3 linked regions of the Canis lupus familiaris genome follow. The protein of the gene in region 3 purifies or fractionates together with the protein of the main gene of each other region. This does not show direct contact. Links are inferred from orthologs where the notes say so. Each region holds a gene or a part of one and is shown on either strand. Other genes may lie near its edges.

Region 1 (4,256 bases), about 9.8 Mb from region 3:
AGTGTTCCAGAAGCTCTGCTGTTAAAATAATCTAATATATTTTTTAAATTGGGGCGGGGGGGGGGGGGAGAGTACATGATATGATTATTTGCCACAGTCCATAAATCCACTCTTGGAGCACACATTTGGATAAATCAGATTCAAAGAAGGAAATGAACCCAGCTAATTCCCTTCTGAATATTTTTCAAAACACTGTTTCTGCATTAAAGAAGCAATGTATTGGCTACAAATAACAACAGCTACCACTTACCCAGCCCCTTCTATGGGCAGGCTTGGTGCTAGTCACTTACTATGTGTCATTTCATTTACTTCCCAGAACAACTCTTTAAGAAACATATTATTATCTCTATTTAATAGATGAGAAATCAAGGAGGACTGAAAGAAGATACAAGGCTGCTGAGTGGAAGAGCCAGATTGCAAACCCAGAGTTCCTTGACTTCAAAGTTCTTGCTCATTATAATAAACTACACCATCTATGAAAAACATAATAAGGGGCGCCTGGGTGGTTCAGTGGTTGAGCCTCTGCCGGTGATCCCTGGGGCCTGGGATCGAGTCCTGCATCAGGCTCCCGGTGCATGGAGCCTGCTTCTCCCTCTGCCTGTGTCTCTGCCTCTCTCTCCTGCCTCTCATGGGTAAACAAATAAAATCTTAAAAAAAAAAAAAAAAAAAAGAACATAATAAGCATAATTTTCATGCTCAGGCCTTTAGAAGTTCTTCAAAGACTTACTAAACTTTTTCAAGTTTCCCAAGAATAACTACTCTGCAACAAATACAACAATTAATTGTAGTAATACACCTACATCTACACTATATATTAATTCAGTCTTGTAAAAAAAAAAAAATCAGGTTTACAAGGAGATTCCAATTCTTATCTCTCAAGAGAACACCAGAAAATTTACAGTTAACTAAGTCTTTCCCATATCCTATAAAAGCTCTAGTATGAATATTTAATCTACAGGGATTTTTCTTTAATTTTTATTTATTTATGATAGTCACACAGAGAGGGAGAGAGGCAGAGACACAGGCAGAGGGAGAAGCAGGCTCCATGCACCGGGAGCCCGACGTGGGATTCGATCCCGGGTCTCCAGGATCGCGCCCCGGGCCAAAGGCAGGCGCCAAACCGCTGCGCCACCCAGGGATCCCTCCACAGGGATTTCAAACTAATTTTGGTGCTATCATATACTTTCCACTCTACTATATATGTTGAAAAGTTAGTCATCCCAAGCCAAAACAAAACCCAAAACATCACCACCACCACCACATCACTAGAGGAGCCAAAGAGGAGCCAAACAAGTAGGCAAATTTTCTTTTATACTTATATGCAACGTTCCTCAAAGGAAGTCTGGATCTCTGCTCGTCTTTTTCTTCAAGTCTTACTCACTCCTGCTGCTCCACTACTGCAGGACTAAGAGTCACACGTTACATATTTTCTCCCACAAGGGAGCTGTGTTTGAATCATTCCTGTAACCAAACCAGTTGGGCCACTGGTCTATGAAATAAGGATTTCAACCACCATCTCTAAAAGATGGAAGAACTGCTGCCCTCTCTCTTTAAAACAGTTCCAAAGCTCATGCCTGACAAGTACGAGCACCTATCAGCTACAAGTGAGTCACATCAACTCCGGGCCTCTAAACTGAGATGGAAGAGCATCTTTCTCTCTTATTCCTTCCCCGCAACTAACCACCCAAGCAAAATTCAATCATCATCCTTCCACTCAACCGAGGCTGACTAAATAAGCACCACACTGCGTGCAATACAGGTTCCCAGGGCAAGCTCCCTCCTAGACACCCTTTCCCTGGAGAAGCAGAAGCCCCCCCCCCCCCCCTTAACTGCTTGGCTTAATAAATGCTGCGGACCACCGAGCACTGGACGGGCTGGAAGCGCCCCTCCCCAGTCCCTACCGGCGAGCCCAGGCAGCGCTGAACTTGCTCTCCGCCCCCAGGGGGACCACTGAAAACCAGTAAACTGCGTTACAGGGAGACATCCCGTCCGCGGTGCTCGGGAAGGCGCCCCGCGCCGGCCTGCTGCTCCCCGCACCACGGCGCTCCCCGTCCCGAGCGGCCACTTGAGAGACGCTCCGAGCCTCACGCTTTCTCACGGGGCTGACAGCTCGCCAAATCCCACCCTTCGGGGAAGTGCAGGCTGGAGCGAAGCCTTCAGGTGTCCCCCCACCCCCGCCCCGGAGCAAACCCGATGCGCAGACCCCCATCCCTACAGGCGCGACGAGGCCAACGTGTGCCCCTTCCAAGCCCCCGCCCGCGAGGAGGACCCGGCCGGCCCTTTGCAGAAGGCGGCGGCCGGGCGCGGCGCACCACAGCACGCGGGAACCCCGGCCCCCGGCCCCCGGCCCCAGCCCGCGGAGGGGGCAGGAACGGCTGACCTCCTCCCCTCGTCCCACTCCCATTAGCCCCGTCGCGCTGACGGCAGCCCCGGCCCGGGCCTTCGGGCCGGCGCCGGGCCGGACTCGCGGACGGCGGCACTCACCGCGATGACATTGACGAAGGTGGTCTTGCCCGAGTACTGCAGCCCCACCAGCGTCAGCTCCATCTCCTCCTTCCAGAAGAGCGAGCGAAACCAGTCCAGCAGGCGGGAGATGAGCGCCAGCATGATGGCGGCCGGGAGGGAGAACGCGCGGGCGGCCGGGCGGGCGGGCGGCGGCGGCGGCGGCGGCGGCGGCAGCGACGGCTTCCACTCGAGCGGGCCTCAGCCCCGACCCCTCAACGGCTCCTCGGGGCCGCGGCGCACCACTGGCGGACACGGGCGGGCGGCGGCGGCCGGAGCCAGGAAGCCGAGCGGGTCATATGACTCGCCCTGCCCCCCACGCTCGTCCCCGCGCCACCGGCGGCGCCCACGGCAAGAGCGACGTGGCCCGGGCGGCCGGGCGCGGCTGCCGCCTGCAGCGCCACCTGCTGGAGCCTCCGCGAAGCGCCGCGTACCGGGGAGCGGCCCTGGGAGCGGCCCCAGGGCTCCCCACCTGCGCTGCTGGCTGGCTCCTAACAGGGGTCAGCTCGCTCTTGCTGCAACCGTTTATGGACAGTCGGCTCTCCGCGGAAAGTCTTCAACGCGCGAGCCACTCGCCATGCAGCGAAGACCTCTTCCTACATTTTTGGTCGTCGCAAAAGATGGGAAGCCCTAAGTGTTGTATCAAGGGGGAACCGATTTAAAAAAACCCCGAGTGTGCGACCCAGCCATTGCACTGCTGGGGATTTACCCCAAAGATGCAGATGCAGGGAAACGGCAGGTCACCTGCACCCCGGTGTTTCTAGCAGCAATGTCCACAGTAGCCAAACTGTGGGAGGAGCCTAGGGGTCCATCGAAAGATGAGTGGATAAAGAAGATGTGGTCTATGTATACAGTGGAATATTACTCAGCCATGAGAAAGGATGAATACCCACCATTTGCTTCGACGTGGATGGAACTGGAGGGTATTATGCTGAGTGAAGCAAGTCAATCGGAGAAGGACAAACATTATATGGTCTCATTCATTTGGGGAATATAAAAATTAGTGAAAGGGAATAAAGGGAAAGGAGAGAAAATGAGTGAAAGTATCAGTGAGAGGGGGATCCCTGGGTGGCTCAGTGTTTTAGCACCTGCCTTTGGCCCAGGGCGCAATCCTGGAGACCCGGGATCGAGTCCCGCATCAGGCTCCCGGTGCATGGAGCCTGCTCCATCCTCCTGTGTCTCTGCCTCTCTCTCTCTCTTTCTATGTCTATCATAAATAAATAAATAAATAAATATTTAAAAAAGAAGAAAGAAAGAAAGAAAGAAAGAAAGAAAGAAAGAAAGAAAGAAAGAAAGAAAGAAAGAAAAAGGAAGGAAGGAAGGAAGGAAGGAAGGAAGAAAGAAAGAAAGAAAGAAAGAAAGAAAGAAAGAAAGAAAGAAAGAAAGAAAGAAAGAAAGAAAGAAAGAAAGAAAGAATCAGTGAGAAATACAGAACATGAGAGACTCCTAACTCTGGGAAATGAATAAGGGGTGGTGGAAGGGAGGTGGGCAGGCGGTTGGGGTGACTGGGTGATGGGCATTGAGGGGGGCACTTGGCAGGATGAGCACTGGGTGTTATGCTATATGTTGGCAAATTGAACTCCAATAAAAAATATACAAAAAAATTTAAATTGGGGATCCCTGCGTGGCTCAGCAGTGTAGCACCACCTTTGGCTCAGGGCATGATCCCAGAGTCCCTGGATCCAGTCCCACGTTGGGCTCCCTGCATGGAGCCTGCTTCTCCCTCTGCCTGTGTCTCTGCCTCTCTCTCTCTC
Region 2 (4,060 bases), on a different chromosome or scaffold from region 3:
CTCCAGGGTCAAGCATTTTACCAATCCACTCATCAGAAAGAGGAAAAGCACCAGGCCCAAAACCTTAGGAGAATCCCGACTCACTGGGGTCACCCCACCACCACCACCCTGCAGGCCCAGAAACACCAGTTCTACAAGTTTCCCACAGGATGTGAAAAAGTCACATAACGAAGGTAATAGGTTTAAAGCAGATTTCAAATTAGGAAACAGATCTGCGGGCAGCCCCGGTGGCGCAGTGGTTTAGCACCGCCTACAGCCTGGGTCGTGATCCTGGAGACCCAGGATCGAATCCCACATCGGGCTCCCTGCAGGGAGCCCGCTTCTCCCTCTGCCTGTGTCTCTGCCTCTCTCTCTGTCTCTATGAATAAATAAAATTTAAAAATCTTAAAAAAAAAAAAAAAAAAGGAAACAGATCTGCATCTCAGTGCTCCAGGGCTGTACATTCAACTGCGAGTCTTTAAATATCTGTGACTCTCTCCTAAGCAAGGGTATTTGCTGGAAGTGAATGAGTGTGTGTCCCTTAGGATGTCCAAGATCAAGAAACTCTGGTCTGGGCCTGCATCCACTACATATGCCCATTCAATAATTTCACAAATACTTAATGAGCACCTACTCTAAGCCACATGCTGCCATCGTAAAAACTATCCTTCTCTCAGTAAGGGTGAGTTGCTTCTTGGATAAAAAGCAAGATTGCATTTGCCCCCACAGACCCTTCTCAAGTACCTAATGTGGGTCAAGTGGCACCACCCCAGGCGCTGAAAACAAAGCTGCATAAGGCTTAAGCCTAACCCTGTAGAACTCAGTCCAGAGCTGGGCTGGAGAAACAAGGCAAGCCCTGGGCAGTCTGCCCTGGCCTTGCCAACAGTGAATGCAGAAAAGGAGGGATCCATTCTCTATCTCCTCCAGAGAGGTGAGGCTGGTCAAGGGAATGGGTCAAACAAGGCTAGGCTTCCCTCAGCTCTGCACCCAAAGGCAACTTCCTGCTTCAGCCTGACCTTGTCTGTCTATAAACTTCTATAAGGATTTTTCATGAATTATCCTGAAAATTACTCAGTGCCCAGTATACAAGTGCTTAGTAATAATGTTTAAAATAACAGCAGCTGGCTGTTTATTGAACCCTTTCCAGAACACCACGTGGAGTAAAATGGTCTGCAGAGGATGGGCTAAATCCTCCCAAAAAGCCTCAAGGCTGTCCAGCTTTCCCCTGAAGGCTTCGTGTTGACCAACTCATTTTATTCTTCCCAAAAACCCAACGAGGGAGAGCTGTAACTGCTCCTATTCTACAGATGAGAGCACTCAGGCCTGCTGAGTGTGACCTTGGACAAGTCACTGGGATTGCAAGTCCGGAAATCCAAGGGCTCCGAGCCAGTTTCGTGAAGGCGCCGCCGCGCTCCGTGAATGAACGAGCAAACAAACCGGGAGGCGCTCCAGAGGCCAAGGAGGCCACATCCCGCTCCCGCCGGGCCTCCCTTCCCAAGGCCTAGCCCCCCGCCCGGGCCCTAGAGGCCTAGGACCCGCGGACAAGGCCGGGCGCCAGCGTCCCTGGGCGTGCACCCACGGGCCGGGCAGGGCGTGCGGGGCCGGGGGCCGGGGGCCGGTGCGGGGGCCGGGGCCGGGGCCGGGGCCGGGCTGGGCCTCGGTCATCACAGCGGCTCATCCCCGCGGCCACCGCATGGCCCGCGCCGGTCCGTGGGCCGAGCCCGGCGAGCGTGGGTGGCGGGCGGTCCCCCGCCGGGCCGCGAGGGCGGGACCCAGGTCCAGAGGGCGCCGCCGGCAAAGGTCACCGAGACCTGCAGCCGGCCGGGCCCTCACGCGCGGCCCGTGCCCTTCCGCCCGCGGTCCCCGCGGTCCCCGCAGGCTCGAGCCCCAGCCGCAGGCGCCCCGGGGCGTCCGGCCGCCCGCTCCCCGCCCGGGCCGCCCGCCGAGGCCTGCTGCGCCCGCCGCTGCCCGCCCAGGCCCTCGCGGGGCGCCCCGCTCCCGCCCCGCTCCCGCCCCGCTCCCGCCCCGCTCCGCTCCCCCGCGCCGCCCGGCCCGGCCCGGCCCGGCCCTCGGCCCCCCGTCCGCGCGGCTCCTCCCTCCACCGCCTCCCGCTCAGCTCCCGCGGCCCGGCCCGCCCCCCCGGGCGCCTGCGGGGCGCGGGTCCCCGGCCGAGGTGCCTACCTCGCGGGCGGCGGCGGGCTCGGCGGCGGGCTCGGCGGCACCTACCGCGGAGGCTGCTGCGCGAGGAACCGAGCGCACGGCCGGGCCGAGGGCGGGGCGGGGCGGCGCGGACGGCGGCGGCGCGGACCCGCCCCGACCCTGCGCACCCGGGCACGCGAGCCCCGCCCCTGGGCCCGCCCCGGACACCGCCCAGGCCGGGGCCCGGTCCCCGCGCCCGCGCCCGCGCCCGCGCCCGCCGCCCCCTCCGCGCGCCCTCGGCGCCTGCCCCGACGCGGTGCCCCGGGCGAGTGCGGGCGCGCGGAGGGGGGCGGCGAGGGCCCCGGCGCGGGACGAGGCGGCGCGCGAGGGGTGCGTGCGCGGGGACACGCGTGCCGGCCGCGGCGGCCGAGGGCCAAGCGCCGAGCAACCCGGGTGCGCCGAGCTTTTGCGCTCCAGAGTAGCAGGCACTTTCCCCGGGAGCGAGACTGCCAGTGGCCATTTTCGGAGCTTTTGCGAAGTGAAAACAGCAAACCGCGCTTCGGCAGAACGTCCCCCGCTGGGAGCCCGAGAGCGCAGACGGGAGGCGGGAGCCAGCCCGGGCCCCCGGGGAGCCCCCGCCCCGCCCGAGCCGGCGGCCTCCGTCACCCAGAATTGCGCAGAGCCTCGTGGCCGGTCGGAGGGGCTGCGCGGCTTTGGCCTCCGCCAACAAACGTTCGTTCTCCGCGCCTCGGGGCCCGTGGAGGAGGCAGGGGCTCCGGGACCCCGACGCTCGCTCACCACCAGCTGTGGCGCCGATTAAAGGAGCAGGCGGCTGGGGCGGCGGCAGAGGCCAGAGGACAGGCTGCTGGGCCGAGGGCAGCGGGAGGAGGAAAAGGCAACTGACTGGTGTTCCGATGGGGCCCGGATGCCGAGAAGAAGGGCACCAGCTTATGGGGTTGGGAAGGGGGGGGCGGGGGCGGTGCAAAGTGCACCGGGCTCTGTAGGGGTCTCTGGTCTAAGCACGCTAAACCCCCTGAGGTCCTGGAGCGTGGAGCGCTCATGCTGGAACTCTCCCCAGGCCCACGAGCTGCTCCATGGCTAACTGGAGGGCTCAGAGCTTCCCAGCCTGGTCATTCCCGCTCCACACACAAAGGCCCCGGCACACTCCTGGAGAGGGTGAGGCAAGGAAAGCCACTGAGTCACCCATGAGCGCAGGAAAGCCGCCTTTGGGAGGACAGGACCTCAAGGAGGCAGGGCAGAGCCAGATAGCTCTAGGGGAAGATGGGGCTCCAGAAATGTCACAGGAGCTAGGAGCAGATATCTCACCCTGGGTCAGTAAAGCCCAGGTGTGATGCTTGGACCAAAGGTCCTAAGTGTTCCCCTCCTCTCCAGCACCTCCTTGCCAAACCACCTTTCAGGACCCTGATTGTGGGAAGAGTTCCCCATACCCCACCTGCTCTGGGTCCCTTCTGGGGCTCCCCCAGGTGTCACTTTCAGATGAATCACACGAGTGTTCTTTGACTCACTGGCTGTGTGACTCTGGGCAACTGGGCTAACTGCTCAGCTGCAATTTCAGAGGGTTGGGGCAAGTTTAAAATGGGAAGCAAGCACTCCAAAAACACTGAAGAAATCTGGTGCAACATGGCATCCTCAGACCCTAGTGTTGACTGCTCCCCACCACAGCCCCAAAGGAAGAGCTGAACCAGGCAGCAGGTTATGCCAGGCTTGGCTCTGCCACCTCCAGCCCCACCTTCCTTCTTTCTTGCCAGGTTCGGACTGGAGGGGGGGCACCTGACCCAAGAGCAGCCAATCAGGTCCTCCCTTGCAATTATGAGCTAATAAACCCAGGTCAGGTATAACAGTGTTTCTTTGGAGGGAATGACCCTTCTCTCTCTCCAGTCATTCCATAAGCTTTGATGGAGCTAACTCCATCCCTGACTCC
Region 3 (4,135 bases):
ACAAAGGGGTTGGGATGGAGATGGGACAAAGGGGTTGGGATGGAGGCAGACAGGTGCAACGACAGCTTGTTAAAAGCAGCACATGGTTTGGAAGGACTGGAAAAAGACAAAAAGTGAAGAATAGTTTGTAGTCAGAATGCAAAGACTTTCAAAAGGTCATATTAAGGAATGTGTATTTTATCCTAACTGTTGCAAGGGAAACCCCCTGAAAGATTAAAGTAAGGTGATACACAAAAAAGCCAGGCTAACTTAACAGAAATACAAAGTTGGTGGCTATAGATAGGACAGATTAAAAGTCAGAAAAACAGGGAAACTACATTAACAGCTACTATAAGAATCTAGGAGAGACCCAAAGATATTCTGACCTAAAATACTATGTGGCGATTTTTGTTTTTAAGATTTTATTTCTTTATTCATGAGACATGGGCGGGGGGGGGAGCACCCAGAGACACAGACAGAGAGAGAGGCAGGCTCCCCAAGGGGAGCCTGATTCGAGACTTGATCCCAGACCCCGGGATCATGCTCTGAGCCAAAGTCAGACGCTCAACTGCTGAGCCACCCAGGCGTCCCCCATGTGGGGATATTAAGAGAAAGGAATGAGTTAAACATTTTGGAGACAAAAGTTTGGGCCTGTATGTTATCAAATTCAGCAAAAACAAAAAACACAAACCAAACCAACAAAAAACCAGGAACTCCAATTAAATTTGAACTTTGGAAAACCAATGAAAAATTTCTAGTATGTCTCATGCAATGCCTGGGTCATACCTGATGTCCTGTATTTGTATCTGGCCATCCTACCTGCGACCAATTATCCATGAATATAGTAGTGGGAAATGAGGAATGGGGTGGGAAAATGCCTAGGCATGAACAAAAGAGTTCAGACTGAATGAACAAGGCTTGGGTGACAAAGTTGAGATGTGTGCTTACCTGCATTGTAACTAGTCTGTCATCCACCATCACCTCCTTTGTCAGAAAGTCTGCTCCTATTGTAGCTTTGTACTGATTACTGAATTTCTTGTTCACATACTGGTTCATGAGTGATGTCTTACCAACTCTGAAATTGGAGAAAAACCACAAGTATAGGTCAAGTTAGAAGGGGCAGAAAAATGATTCTGATATTTGCAGCTCTGAAGATACTTGCCAGCTTAAAGGATAACAAGCAACTGTAATCACAACAGAGGATAGTGCCAGCAAACTGCTCAGTGTTACTCATTCGAGGTTTTATTTTCTCCTGGAACAAAAGTACAGGGCTATAGATGTGGATCAGATGTTGAAAAGCTGCTCTTAAGTTTTGGTACAAGTAACTCAGATGGTAGAACTTAGTATTATTTTTTTCCTTCCAGAAAGATGTCAGCAAATACTCTCTTTCTAAAAGAAGCTACAGCAATAAGATCCTGCCACCATTCTAAAAATATCTCTGCTGTCCTGGGTGTCTCTCCATTTAGGGGCTGATATTCAGTCCAAGAAAGTAATAGCAGGAGAAAGTCACTGGCTATGAGCAGACATATATGCCAGTCAGCCACCTGCTACTTCAAAGATTAAAATCTGAAGTGAGGAAAGCATCAATATTCCCACCAAATCAGAATCTACCTCAGAGTAAGCTCCTCCAGGGAAGTTTTTCAGTAAGAAAACTCAGTAAGAGACAATGTGTGGATTTTTTTTGGTGATGAGATTAGTTAGGGCAGGCTGAAGATAACATAAAAGTCTTCTTCCAAGTCAACAGGATCACCTTCCTTTCCCTCTAAGGAACATATTCATCTTCATAGGCAGAGGACCTGGAAGTAAGTTATGGCTTAAGGCAGTGTTCTCCAATCCAGGTCACCTGGGTCTGAATTTTCAGGGGAGAGGTCAGGAGGTCTCTAATCAAATAAAGGCCCGGTGATTTTTCCCATGCAAGTTTGGGCCTAAAACAGTACCTTTCATTCCTGACAGCACAGTGGTCACCAGGAAGGAGGGAGGAGGGAGACAGAGAGATATATGTATTTAAGTACTGCCAATGAGGCCCAACACAATGGTCTGGAAAAATGCTTACTTTTGAAAAGCTCCTCAGGGCAATCAGAAAAGCCAGACAGGGTAGAAAAATCACTGCCTTCTTAAAGGGCAGGGAACTTTCGTGTAAGGAGGCACACCTGGATTTATCATCATCATCATCATCATCATCATCATCATTTAAAAAAAATACATAGCTTCTAGTTGGTCTAAGGTTTCCAGGTCACATCAGATGCTGAGTCTGAAAAGCCTCCCACAGAATCGTTAACAGCTACTGAAGAGTTAGTCACTTAATTAGTGGCAGATCTAGGATCAGAACCCAGTTTTCCAGTCGCAGGTTCTTTCAGATACACCCCAAATCAGACCCAGTAGTGGGAAGATACTGCACAGCTGTATCCAGACTCCAAACCCACAACTGGTAGGCATGAGGTCAGTGGCAACAAATCTACACATGAACAGAACTCCCTTGTCTAATCAGCTCAGAAAAAAGAGATTCCAGTGAAACCGTTCTTGAGTTTAAATGGCTACTCCTTCCCCTAAATCATGCCAAAGACCAGGGAACCAAGGATTACAGACTAAGAGATCATTAAAATTTCTGCTGTGCTTAAAAAAAAAAAATCTGCTGTGCTGGAAATGGCAAGAGACCTAGAACCCTACTGCCACTACTATTAGAGAAGTGGCAAATGTGAGCAGGGAGGGCATGGCTTCAAAGTCACATTTAATCCAAACCAATCTGTTACTTCAAACTTACCCAGAATCTCCCAGGATGATAACCTTCAGCAACACTTTCTTCCTAGAGGTCATCCTTCAAACTAAAAGGAGAAAGGAGAAAGTACTTGTGAGCGTGACAGAAATACCCAGGCAAACCTCATCCCTCTGTACAAGCATCAACACAGCCCCAGGAGCACTAAGCCTTCCCATTTAGCTATTTCCCTGCCACCCAGGGGGACCAGACAGAAAGCAGAATCAATCTTAGAACTTTGGACACAAGCTGGGCAAAATCATGAGAGGCAGGGTCATCCTGCCCCTTGGAGCAGTCTAAAAGGATGGATTCTCCCTCTCAGATGTTGCTGGATCACTGTGGATTAATGTTCAATTTAACAACTAGGCCCTGCTTCATTCAAGTCTCTGCTCACATAGCACTTCCTCAGAGACATGATCACTTTATCTAAAGTGGCACACCCTCTCCCCATCTGCTCTCTAACCCTTTACATTGCCTTACTTTTTTTCTTCAGAGCACTTACCACTACTTGACATCCAAATCTATTAATTTGTTTTCTCCCTTCTCCAACAACTTCCACCAAGACAGTTTTATTCCCCACTGCATCTCCAGTGCCAAGTAGAGAACAATTATCAAATATTGGGGTTGGGGGATCCCTGGGGGCACAGCGGTTTGGCGCCTGCCTTTGGCCCAGGGCACGATCCTGGAGACCCGGGATCGAATCCCACATCGGGCTCCCGGTGCATGGAGCCTGCTTCTCCCTCTGCCTGTGTCTCTGCCTCTCTCTCTCTCTCTATCATAAAAAAAAAAAAAAAAAAAAAAATTAAAAAAAAATTGGGGTTGGTGTGAGAACAATACTTGTTGACCTGCAGCTCTTGAGATCACCCTTTTCTAGAAAACCTTTCAGGGCAGCCCAGGTGGCTCAGTGGTTTAGGGCTGCCTTCAGCCCGGGGCCTGATCCTGGAGATGGGGGATCGAGTCCCACATTGGGCTCTCTGCATGGAGCTTGCTTCTCCCTCTGCCTGTGTTTCTGCCTCGCTCTCTGTGTGTGCCTCTCATGAATAAATAAAAAAAAATCAAAAAAAAAAGAAAGAAAGAAAGAAAAGAAAAGAAAAGAAAAGAAAAGAAAAGAAAAGAAAAGAAAAGAAAAGAAAGAACCTTTCAGGCAGCCTGGCTAGACAATATGTAAGATGCCTCATTTTTGCTTATCTCTATTCCAGAAATCTGCCCCTATTTACTTACTAAGGCAGGGTTCCTGTCTTAATTATCCCTTGGTCTCCTGAACCTGATTCTGAGTTTCAGAAAAGCAGGAGTCCTATATTCCGGACTCCAATGTTAGCAACTTACCTAAGACTGCTGGAGGATCACTCCTCAGACAGCTGGAATCCCCAGCAGAAGGCCTGCATTCTTCTCTATAATCAGGAA

Evidence for each region. Proteins that work in one complex are often made in the same cells at the same time.
Region 1: the proteins of RAB7A (region 3) and ARL8B purify together in Homo sapiens (affinity purification with mass spectrometry; 4 studies listed by BioGRID and IntAct, with this or other methods). This does not show direct contact. The link is inferred for Canis lupus familiaris from reciprocal best matches to the Homo sapiens genes RAB7A and ARL8B.
Region 2: the proteins of RAB7A (region 3) and VDAC1 purify together in Homo sapiens (affinity purification with mass spectrometry; 3 studies listed by BioGRID and IntAct, with this or other methods). This does not show direct contact. The link is inferred for Canis lupus familiaris from reciprocal best matches to the Homo sapiens genes RAB7A and VDAC1.

Annotation. Positions count from the first base shown.
Region 1 is NC_049241.1:12,598,816-12,603,071, forward strand, and holds the start of ARL8B (ADP-ribosylation factor-like protein 8B), read right to left. Parts: upstream 2,806-4,256; 5' UTR 2,608-2,805; coding exon 2,485-2,607; intron 1-2,484. UniProt on the Homo sapiens protein: Small GTPase which cycles between active GTP-bound and inactive GDP-bound states.
Region 2 is NC_049232.1:22,230,507-22,234,566, forward strand, and holds the start of VDAC1 (voltage-dependent anion-selective channel protein 1), read right to left. Parts: upstream 2,806-4,060; 5' UTR 2,785-2,805; intron 2,261-2,784; exon of another isoform or gene 2,161-2,260; intron 1-2,160. UniProt on the Homo sapiens protein: Non-selective voltage-gated ion channel that mediates the transport of anions and cations through the mitochondrion outer membrane and plasma membrane.
Region 3 is NC_049241.1:2,781,980-2,786,114, reverse strand, and holds the start of RAB7A (ras-related protein Rab-7a), read right to left. Parts: upstream 2,803-4,135; 5' UTR 2,794-2,802; coding exon 2,741-2,793; intron 1,055-2,740; coding exon 928-1,054; intron 1-927.